Linked DNA regions of Sus scrofa. The protein of the gene in region 2 interacts with the protein of the main gene of each other region in a pairwise test. Links are inferred from orthologs where the notes say so. Each region holds a gene or a part of one and is shown on either strand. Other genes may lie near its edges.

Evidence for each region.
Region 1: the proteins of TOP1 (region 2) and BTBD2 interact in a two-hybrid assay, tested with the Homo sapiens proteins (2 studies listed by BioGRID). The link is inferred for Sus scrofa from reciprocal best matches to the Homo sapiens genes TOP1 and BTBD2.

What each region holds. Positions count from the first base shown.
Region 1 is NC_010444.4:76,537,085-76,542,159, forward strand, and holds the start of BTBD2 (BTB/POZ domain-containing protein 2), read left to right. Parts: upstream 1-1,453; 5' UTR 1,454-1,462; coding exon 1,463-1,839; intron 1,840-5,075.
Region 2 is NC_010459.5:43,708,047-43,713,739, reverse strand, and holds the start of TOP1 (DNA topoisomerase 1), read right to left. Parts: upstream 3,471-5,693; 5' UTR 3,161-3,470; coding exon 3,128-3,160; intron 2,805-3,127; coding exon 2,780-2,804; intron 1-2,779. UniProt on the Homo sapiens protein: Releases the supercoiling and torsional tension of DNA introduced during the DNA replication and transcription by transiently cleaving and rejoining one strand of the DNA duplex.

The DNA.
Region 1 (5,075 bases), on a different chromosome or scaffold from region 2:
AACCCACTGTGCTGGGCTGCGGGGATCTGAGCTGCTGCAGTCGGATTCATAACCCACTGTGTCACAGTGGGAACTCCTATATATTACTTTTTTTTTTTTTTTTTTTTAGCTATTTCTTGAGCCGCTCCCGCAGCATATGGAGGTTCCCAGGCTAGGGGTCCAATCGGAGCTGTAGCCACCAGCCTACGCCAGAGCCACAGCAACGCAGGATCCGAGCCACGTCTGCGACCTACACCACAGCTCACGGCAACGCTGGATCGTTAACCCACTGAGCAAGGGCAGGGACCGAACCCGCAACCTCATGGTTCCTAGTCGGATTCGTTAACCACTGCGCCACAACGGGAACTCCCCCTATATATTACTTTTAAAGTGAAACAAAGATCTTTGAAAAAAAAATCAGGTTTGAGATGGCTTTGCGCATGGTTATAATGTTGTACGATTTGGCCTTCTGTTCATTTCTCACCCCAAAGGGCAGAGGCAGTGGGCTGGCAAGGTGGGAGTGTCTAAAATCCAGGGGCTAAGGCTGATAGTGGAAGTCTATCGTAGGGGTGGGGCTAATGCCAAGGAGCTAGGAGGGCTGATGACATCCACAGAGCTGAGTTCCCAGGTGAAGGGGTTTGGCTTTCATGGGGAGCACCTGGAGGGCTTTAAGCAGCGGCTCCCAAAGACCTGGTTTAAGTTGGGAGGAGGCTAGATTCTAAAAAGAGTAAGGAAGGTTGGGTTGTTGGGGCTGGTGGTTGTCAGGGAGCAAGCTGGGCAGTTTTAGACGACAGTGGTAGTGGAATGGGGCCTGGACTGCCACAGAATTCTCCGGAACAGTGCAAAATGAAAACATGGGGGCGCCCCCCACCCTGAAAAAAACCCCATGCAGCCCAGTGTTAAAAATTTACTTCCCTGAGGTGAGAGCAGAGCCGGTCCTCGAGGGGACCCAGGAAAAGGGAGACGATTCAAGGTCTGCTTTGGAGGTAAGAACCGGCCAGGATTCGGGCTGAAACTGGACACTGAGGAGGAATGTCTTGCCTGTGGCTTTGCGGGCGGTCCATGGGCCACCGCCCAAATGAAGAAATCCCTTCTCCACGGGAAGGACCAGGCTTTGAGAATCCTGAGGTCTCCCAACCCTTTTATTTTTTTTCTGCCCTGCCCGGCATGCAGATGTTTCCAGGCCAGGGATCGAACCTGTGCCACGGCAATGACCCGAGCCACAGCAATGACAACGCCAAATCCTTAACCTGCTGAGCCACCAGGGAACTCCATCCCAGTCACTTTTTAGACGCTTAATTTTCCCCTTCCTTCCCCTTCGCCCCCTCCCCCCCCCCCTTGCCCCTCCTCTCCGGTCTCTCCCCCTCCCCTCCCTTCCCCCCTTGCCCCCTCCTCCCCCCCCTTGCCCCACCCCCTCCGCTCTACCCCCCCTCCCCCGCCCCCTCCCTCCCCGCCCCGCCCCGCCCGGCGCCGCACCGACAAGATGGCGGCGGGTGGGAGCGGCGGGCGCGCGTCGTGCCCGCCGGGGGTCGGCCCGGGAGCGGGGGGCGGCCCGGGGCCCAGCGCCAACGCCGCCCCGGCTCCCGGCAACGCGGCGGCCGCCGCCGCCGCTCCGGCCCCCGCCGCCCCCGGGCCGCCGCCGCCGGTGTCGGGGCCGGGCGCGCAGGCCGCGGCGGGCGGGGAGCGGGCGGCCGAGGAGCCGGGGGCGGCCGCGCTGCTGCGCGAGCCCGTCTACAACTGGCAGGCCACCAAGCCCACGGTGAAGGAGCGCTTCGCCTTCCTCTTCAACAACGAGGTGCTCTGCGACGTGCACTTCCTGGTGGGCAAGGGGCTCGGCGCGCAGCGCATCCCGGCGCACAGGTGGGCCGCTGTCCCGGGACCGCCGTCCCGAACCCTCCGCCCCCGCCCCTGCCATCCCGAACCCCGCTACCCCTGGGATCCACCAACCCCCTGGACCTACCGTCCCCGAACCCTGCCACCCCTGGGACCTACCCCCGGCCCCCAACCCCGCCATCCCCAGGACCCATCTTCCCTGGATCGGGGACCCGCCATTCGCGGAACCCTGCTGGCTCAGGGACCTGCCCTCCCCGGACATCCAGTGTCTCTAGGACCCTTTCGTCCCCAGTACCCATCATCCTCAGGCCCCATCCTTCCTCGGCCCTACCAGGCGCCCATCCACCCCGTATTTCCAGATACTAGCCATATTCTGGTCCTGAGACCCTCTGCCTTTTCATTCTCATCAGTGACTCCTGGCTCTGCGACCCCTGACCCCACCACCTTGGCCAGGATCTCCCAGACCAAGGGACCTTTTCCACCCCTGGCGTTCCTGGGACCTTTCAACCCCTGCCAGGCTCTCCAGGCCCTGCTGTCCCAGCTTGGCCAGCCTGAGGACCCCAGACACAGCCACCTCCCTCCACATCCTCCATCATGACCTCCTCCCCCTGACTTCCCCATCCTTTTTGGGGCTAGACCCCCAGAGCCTCATCAGACCTCCAGCTCATGAACCCAAGACCCCCAGACTCCTGAGCCACAGAACCTGCAGTGACCCCCCATCTCGGTGCTGCCCTCAGCTCCCTGACCCCTTACCCCCAAGGCCTCTTCTCCAGAGGCGGGAGTTCTGGGTCCAGGCCCCATCCCTCTGCCAGTCTCTAGGATGCGGCCCCCAGGCCCTTAGGTGGGGTGGGGCTGATGTCAGACACTGCCCTGCCCACTGCTGGTTCCTCTGGCCCTGCTCTCTGGGTAGCGGGGAGGCGCTGAGGGGGTTCTGTTAGGGGAGGGGTTAGGGGGATTCTCCTCATTCTGCTTGGAGTGTCCCCCAGCCTGCTGTGAGGGTCCTCTCTACCTTTCTGATGTGTGGCTTTTGTTTAGCCTGTGCCTCTGAAATCCTTCTTTCTGGTTTTTCTTGGTTATTAATGAACAACTGGGTCTAAATTCCTGTCCAAGGAAGGTTCCAGGCCCGTGGTTGGGTCCTCAGGACCATGTGTGTGTTGCAGCCCCCCCCCCCACCGAAAACTCAGAGCTGGAGGTGGTGGATGTGCTGCCTTTGAGCCCCCAGCCTCCCTCGCACCGTTCCTACCCCACATTCCTGCTCTGTGGGCGTCCTCCATTGAAGGTGCTAGTTCTTTTTCTTTTTAGCCTTTCAGTGATTATTTCATATGCATTGTTGAAATTTTACCTCCAGTGGTCAGTGGTCGGGTAGATGACTGCCCCATGAGTGACCCTGGCCCTTGCTGAGCCTCAGTTTCCCCCCGTGACTGGGGACTGAGCCCTGGGACCCCTCCTTCCCGGGACCACTGGGAGGATGGACCCTGTGCTGATCACAGTGGCCCAGGGCTCGTCCTCTGTACGGGCTGGCTTAAAATACAGGGGGGTCATGAGCCAGAGTCTAAAATGAACACCCAAGACCCTCACTGATGGAACAGAGGTGGAGAGAGGACAAGCTTCCTTCTGGAGAGTTCCTCTGGACCTCATTCCCACCTCCAATCCTGGGTGGGCCCAATCTGGGGGCTTGCTTGTAAAGAGAAGACTAGAACCCAACCTAGAGGAAATTGGGCAGATGCCATCTTCGCCAGATGGTCAAGGTCAATTTCACAGTGATATCCTGGGGGTGACAGAGCCCCCCCCTCAGCAGAAATTGATGAGAAGGGCACGTCACCTTAGCGTGTTTTTTCCTAAACCTGTAACCCCAGTGTCTTGGGTTGAATGGTGCCTCCTCCCCAAAATGTGTGCCCACGTCCTGACACCCAGAACCTGTGAGTGGGAGCTGATTTGGAAAAAGGGTCTTTGCAGGTGTGATTAAGAGTTGCAAGAGATCATTCTGGATTATCTGAATGGGTCCTAAATCCAACGTTGAGTGTCCTTAGAGGGACACTCTGAGGAGAGATGGAGGGAAGACAGTCACATGACAGTGGGGCCAGAGGCTGCAGGGACACAGCCACAAGCCCAGGGTGCCTAGGGGCCACCAGAAACTGGAAGAGGCAGGAAGGATCCTCCCCTGGAGCCTGGGGTGGGGAGCTCGGCCCTGTGACACTCTGATCACCCTGATCTTGGACATGTGGCCTCAGGAACGTGAGAGAATAAATTCTTCTTGTTTCAAGTCACCCAATTTGCAGTGATTTGTTAGAACAGCCCCAGGAAACCAGTACAGCCAGTCCTCTCAGAAAATACCAGATAAACCCAGCTTGGGGACATCCTGCAGAACTCAGGCCAGTCCTCAAGATGGTCCTGGAAGGGGCCTGAGGACACAGCTAAACACCGCTTTCCTGAAAGAATGAACGGCCTGGGGCAGAAAGGAGGAAAGGCGGACCTGGTAACTGGGGAACAAGGCCTGAGGTCCCTCACACCTGGCAGAGCGGGGAGGGGCTTGTGCTGACTTCCTGGAAGGGTGTGGGGTCCAGACCCACCATCTCCCAGGACCCTGGATTGGGGTGGTCTTGGGCTGGGGTCAGGGGGGCTGTGAACTCTGCATGGTGCACGGTGACCGGTGACCTGGGCACGGGAGACAGGAGGGCTGGAGTCGGCCTGGCTTGTGTGACTTCAAAGGGCCTGGGCCGAACACACTCAGGCCTCAATCAGACCACCGCCCATTCTGCTTAGCTTTGCAGCTCCCACCTCCTTGCCCTACACTCTTTTCCCTTCTAACTTTCCCTGGCTGTCGTTGGCTTTATGTGTGACTGTGTGGCTATGAGCAGGGCTTTGCCTCCCCGTCCTGCATTTCATGTGCCCAGGAGAAAGCCTGGCGTCTACACTTGAGGGGCTCCCTATGAGGAAATGCCAGGTATCTGTAAGGTAACACTGTATAAGTCAGACAGCTCCACAACATTAATATCTAAAATACCTTTCTTCTATCACGGGAAACCTAGCGGCACAGAGAAGCCCAGAAAGTGGAGCAGCGTGTGTCTGGGGTCCCTGTCTTTCTTTGATCTATTTGTGTGTGCTGCGCCCAATGACACCGTTTTGATGACTGTGACTTTATGGCGGGGTTTTGAGGATTGCTGAGGCTGTTCCAGTTTTATTCCTTATCAAGACTTTTTCAACTGGTCTCACACACTTCACTCTTCTACATTCAATCACCCATCCCTCCCTCCCTCTCTCCC
Region 2 (5,693 bases):
GGGCAGGCAAATGAGGGCTTTTTGTTTTAATATATGAACTGGCACAGTTAATCTGTAAGATGGGTTAGGTCCACTTAAAACCATGCTTAAGCAAACTCTTAATACAAAGATCAATAATAACTTGTCTGGGTATAATTAAACATTGATTTTTATTTTTTTTTAAACTCTTTCGTAGTTACATAAATCAATCACTAGTTATCAGTGTATTACTTAATAGAGAAAGCACACAGCTACTAATACTACATCTTTCTTCTAGACAATATTTACAAAGGTAATACTCCAGTGTCAGATCATTAGGGCAGTAGGGAAGCAGTTTAAGTGCTTATCCTCTTAAAAGAGCAGGTTTAGATAAAAAAACAAATGACAAACTATCAAATTCGTCCCTCTCGACTTTCTCAGCTCTGTAAGAAAGTAAAGATGTGCAGCTTTTAATTTCTTCCTACTAGAATCATACAGAGCATAGTGGCTAACCTTGTGAGCTTTGTAGTGTCCAACTCACTGCCCTTGGAAAGCTGGTAAATATACCCAAGTCTCAGTTTCCTTACTTATGGAAATGGAGATAATAGTACCTAACTCATAAGGGTTCTTCCAAGGATTAAATTAAACTAGTTAATCCATGAAAAGAGCTGAGATGCATGTCTGGAACAGTATATATTCAATAAATATGAACAATTATTGCTATTACAAGTGAAAAATTCTAAAAGTCAATATAACCAATTTACTCCAGTCTCTACCAAAAAATGGCACTAAAGATCAATAATTTACCTAGCCTACCATCATTCACATATACAATAGTTCCTCTGTATAATCTATGTGAGAACCACGGAGGTTAACTTTCTGAGAAAGGACAACACTTTGTTTCATTACTAGATACATTACCTACTCAGCCTAGTCTCAAAGTCAAAAGAACATTTATTTATTCTGTATTAAGATCCTACCTTCTTCCAAGAGAGGTCAAAAGGACATCCTCATCTGACACATCCTTTCTTTGCTTCCACATCCCAAAGAAACATATCTACACTCTGGCTTTCTGAACTGCAAGGGCCTCATCTCCCTCTTTTAAAACCCTGATAGGCTGACTGAACAGTTAGGAAATACTCTAACCCCTGACACTCAGCACCTAGTCTTGCACAACACCCAGCTACCTCCTCTGAGAAATTTCCCCACCCCCAGACTGAATGCCCTAGTCACCCAAAGCATTTCGGGTATACATATGCCCCAGCACCTACCTTATAATTAACTAATTATGTCTCCCCAGATAGACTGGATTGAAGGCAAGAACAGCAGTGTCCGGGCCAAAGATTCAACTTTAGTACTTAGCACAGTGCTGGGCACATCTCTCAGGTGCTCAAAAACTGTTACATTTTAACCAGATTCTCTCCTCTCCCCTAGTACTATCTCCTGCTGGATGCCCTACTCCAAAATCTGAACATAAGGCTGCTCTGCTCTCAGTAGAGCAGGCTAACACGATGGACTGCTGATTACAACATCAGAAAACCTACTCATCAGCTTCTCCCATTGGAGAGATTCCCGGAACCCAAACTCAACTGAGCAGAATTATGTATACCATCAGAATGGGTGGGAATTCCCAGCACACTACAGAGGGTGCCTTCTCCTCCAAAAGGATTGCTGAAAAGCTCACAGGGGAAGCTTTTCCTGGGGAATCTTCACTGAGCAACTGAACTGGAAATACTCAGAGTAAGTGCCTTGATTTGGCTGAAAAGGGTTCAAAAATATGAACATCTGGCAAAAGTCAGCTAGCTCTCAATTCCTGAAAAACAGTGGCTTCTGAAGAAGAATGAGCAGGAAGAATGGGTGCTGGCCACTCTTTGTTTCAATAAATAAAATCTTTTTTTTCTGACCCACAGCCCACAAGAAAAGGCCAGTACTCCAGGCCAGATGAGATGCTGAACAACCTTTCCTCCTGACAACCACATGAAACTGCGTTAGAAAAACACTGCTTTGGGAATCTCAGCCCCAATGAAAAGTTCTAGTCGGTGTTACTTTACTTAAAAAAAAAAAAAATCTATATGCCCAAGTCCAACATTGGATGGCCCACAGACAACTTGTAAACTTTCTGAAAGTAGATACCACTACCCTGGCAAAGAACACAACTTGGGGAAAGCAATCTCAAAAGGTGAAGAACTCCACAAAGGAGGGCTTTAGTTTTAGAGCCCTAATTCTAACCATCAAACATCTCACCGAAGGGGTGGGGGGATCAACAGTTGCTCAAGGGTATCTTTCATTCTGGAAGCAGAAAAGGAAACAAACAAGAAGCAGTAGGGGAATAACCCCTCAAATAAAGTTCTCTTTGGAAAAAAATAGTAACAATTCAGGCTCCCACCCTTCCCTCTGCTGAGGTCTGTGATTTATATGGCTTTGCTCTGCAGAAAGCTCTTTCTGGGCAGCTCAGGGAAGGAGCCGAGGGAGGGAGAGAAAGAGACACAAGCACAGAAAGGAGAGGAGAGAGAAAAAGAAAATGGCGCAGAGACTAAGTCCCGACTGTCGACAGGGCGACTTTCCCGGGAGGAATCCGGGCCCGGAAAGGCTGCCCGACGCCCGGTGACGGGCGACGCGGGGTCTCCGTTGCCCCCTCTTGGGAGGGCCGCGATATGGGGGCAGTGGGGTCCCCGGAAAGGGGGTCCAGAGGCGGCCCGATGGGAACAATGGGGCCGGTGAGCGAGAAGCCGGGACTTAGTCTCTGGGACGCCATGTCTGTCCTCTGCCCGGCTCGGGCCGGGCGGCCGGGGACCCGGGGTCGGGGAGGGGGCACACTCACCATTCAGTCGGAAATCCGCCTCGATCTGGGGAGAGAAAAGGAGGGACCGTGAAACAACAGGCACATTCACCCCGCGGCGGCCGGCGGGCGAGCGCGCGCGGCCGTGGGCCGGTCCCACCCTGCGCCCCCCGGGATGGAGGGGCCCCGGGAACGGCCGCCAGGGCCCGCCAGCCCCCCAAAATTGGAAGTTGGCGGCTTCCGCCCGGGGAGCCCATCGCCTCCGGCCGGCCGCCCCTACCCAGGGGTTCCGGCCTGTCAAAGCGGCCAGGCCGAGGCCGGGGCCTGCGCCGGGGGTCTTGGAGGGCCGGGGCGGCGCCGGGGACCCAGGCGGGTCGGGCAGGGCCGTACCTGGGAATCGGTGTGGAGATGGTCCCCACTCATGTCGGCAGGAGTGGCGAGTGCGGCGGGCGGCGAGGGGCGCCGAGGAGACGCAGACGGTCGCTACCGGCCTGTGCGGGTGGACAGGGGCTTCCGGAGGCTCCCGAAGGCTCCCGGAAGCGCGAGTAAACGTCGGCGGGGCGGGCCTGAGACTCCCGGTAAGGCTGAGGCGGCGACAGCGGCGGCGACGCTGACTGACTGCCGGGCGGGAGGCGAGAGCAGACCCCAGCAGTTGTGTAACAGCCTAAGTTCGCATTTCGGCTCACTGCGCCTGCGCGGCCGCTTTTAAATGAGACGTCGCTGACGTCAGAGACTCGCGGAAGGAGGCCGAGGGTTGTGGGGCCCGCCCCCTCGCACTTCCCAAGGAGGACCTGGCTTTGCATCGTAAGCCCCGCCCCTTAGTCCTCGCGCGCCGCTGTGATTTGCATGAGAAGTTGACTCCTCCCACGGCCGCACATCCTGAGCAGCCTTCTTTTCCTCTCCCAGCGCCTTTTCTCGGAAACCAGGCCCCTCCCCTAGGCTGTGCGCAGGCTCAGCCCGGACACCGCCTCCGGACCGGGGCCGGCCACTCGGCCACGTGGTGGGCCTTTAAAGGCCGCGGCGGGACCGCGCCAGGCCTGGTCCGTGCTTCTGTCTCGCTTTTTCCTCTTCTCGGAGATTCAGAAACCCTGGCGTTCAGGGCCCCTGAGCTCTCACCGGCTATTCCTCTCTCGTTAACCATACTCCGAGGCTATTTGATGGGAGGAGCTCCTTCCCCAGCCTTTGTCCAGGCTTTCCAATTCCTCGATTATTTCATGCTTTCTTAAAATTTATTTTATTTTTTTTCAGCCCACCAAAAGTCTGGTTTAGCTCCCGTTTTCAGTCGGGTACGTGTGGCCCTGGGTCTCAAGAGGCCTAATTTCATTAGTTCTTTCTTCAGACCTTCCTGAGCCAGGAATTGCGTTAAGAAAAAGGATAGGATAGGGACCAAAGAGAACCAGATCGCGGGGTGAACACGACCTGGCTCTGTGCCCTGCTGTATCCTTAGCGCGCAAAGAGGCCTAGGGGAGAGGAATTGGAGAGAGAACTGCCGCTTATGGAGCATCTACTCTGCTCTGATTTGACACAATAGCTCTTTGAGGTCGCCTATTTTACTAAAGTTTAATTGTGTCAGAGATAAGTGACCTACTAACTGCCTACTTGACATCTCCTTTTGGATACCTCACAAACTTCCCTAAACTCACCATCTTCCTCCACCACCCAGTTAGAAAAGCTCCACCCTGGACATCTTCCTTTTCTTTCTCATTCATCCAGCTGATTGCATGTTTTCAATCTTTCCCTTGGCCACACACCTGTCGAAGTCTGCATTATCTCTTGCTTGGATTATACTACATAATACATTCCTAACAGGGATCCCTGCTTCCCTTCTGGCCCTCTCACAAGTTGCTCTGCAACAGTAGCCAAAGTAATTTCTCTACACCAGATCTATTATCCCCTCCAACAGTACTTCTCATCTTAGTACAAAGTTCAAAGTTCTTTTTTTTTTTTTTTCTTCCTGGTCACACTCATGCATGCGGAAGTTCCCTGTCTGGGGATGAAACGTGCTACAATTGTAACCAGAGCCACAGCAATGACAACCCAGGATTCTTAACCCACTGGACCAAGAGAGAACTCCATAAACCAATCTAATTTTGAATTCTGCTCTTCTGTTGATTAGCTGTGTGACTTCAGGAAAGTTGTTTAACTTCTCTGAACCCCTATTTCCTCATCTGGACAATGGCGATAATGGTGAAAAAAATTTTTAATTAACATATAGTTGATTTACAATGTTCTGTAATGGTGGAATTTTAAGGTTTTGTTTTTTTTGTTTTCTTGTTTTTGTTTTTTTTTAAGTTGTTTGAGAATACAAGGCTACTAATTGATGAGTTTTGGATTCAAACTCAGGTCTGCTTGACTCCACAGCTATGCTCTTTCTCTCAAGCAAGCTACCAAAACCAGTTTCATCTTGCTTTCGGTGTCTTTCTTCATAGTCCTCCCATCTCGGAATTAATCCCAGGCCACCAGGTGAGGCGTGTGACTACTACCTGTTTGCTGCAGTCAGGCCAAAGTAACTCGAGGACTGCCTTAAGGAATAATAGCGCCTCCCACCACTACTCCTCCACCATCCCCTAAAGCCGGGGAAACTCTGCATGCATTTTCCAGGTACCTCCAAGGAAAATCTGGGTAGGCCTAAAAACACACACTCCAAAATGACACACCAAGCATGGTCCCTGTGCACAAATATGCAGGTATCTGGGTGTCTTGTCACAGGCTGCACTTCTTTGCCAACATACAAGGCTGGCAGTGCTCAGAGGGTGGTTGGCTTACCCAAGGCCACATGGCCATTCTCTGACTCCTGATACTTCAATCTGGTATCCCCAGGATATGGTCCACTAACCCTAGTACTTGGGGAGATTATAGGTAATACAGACATTTTAATTTTAAATCATTATGTAAATATTTCCATGTGTGTGAGGGAAAAAATTTTAACCACCACATCAAATCCATGATTTTAAGG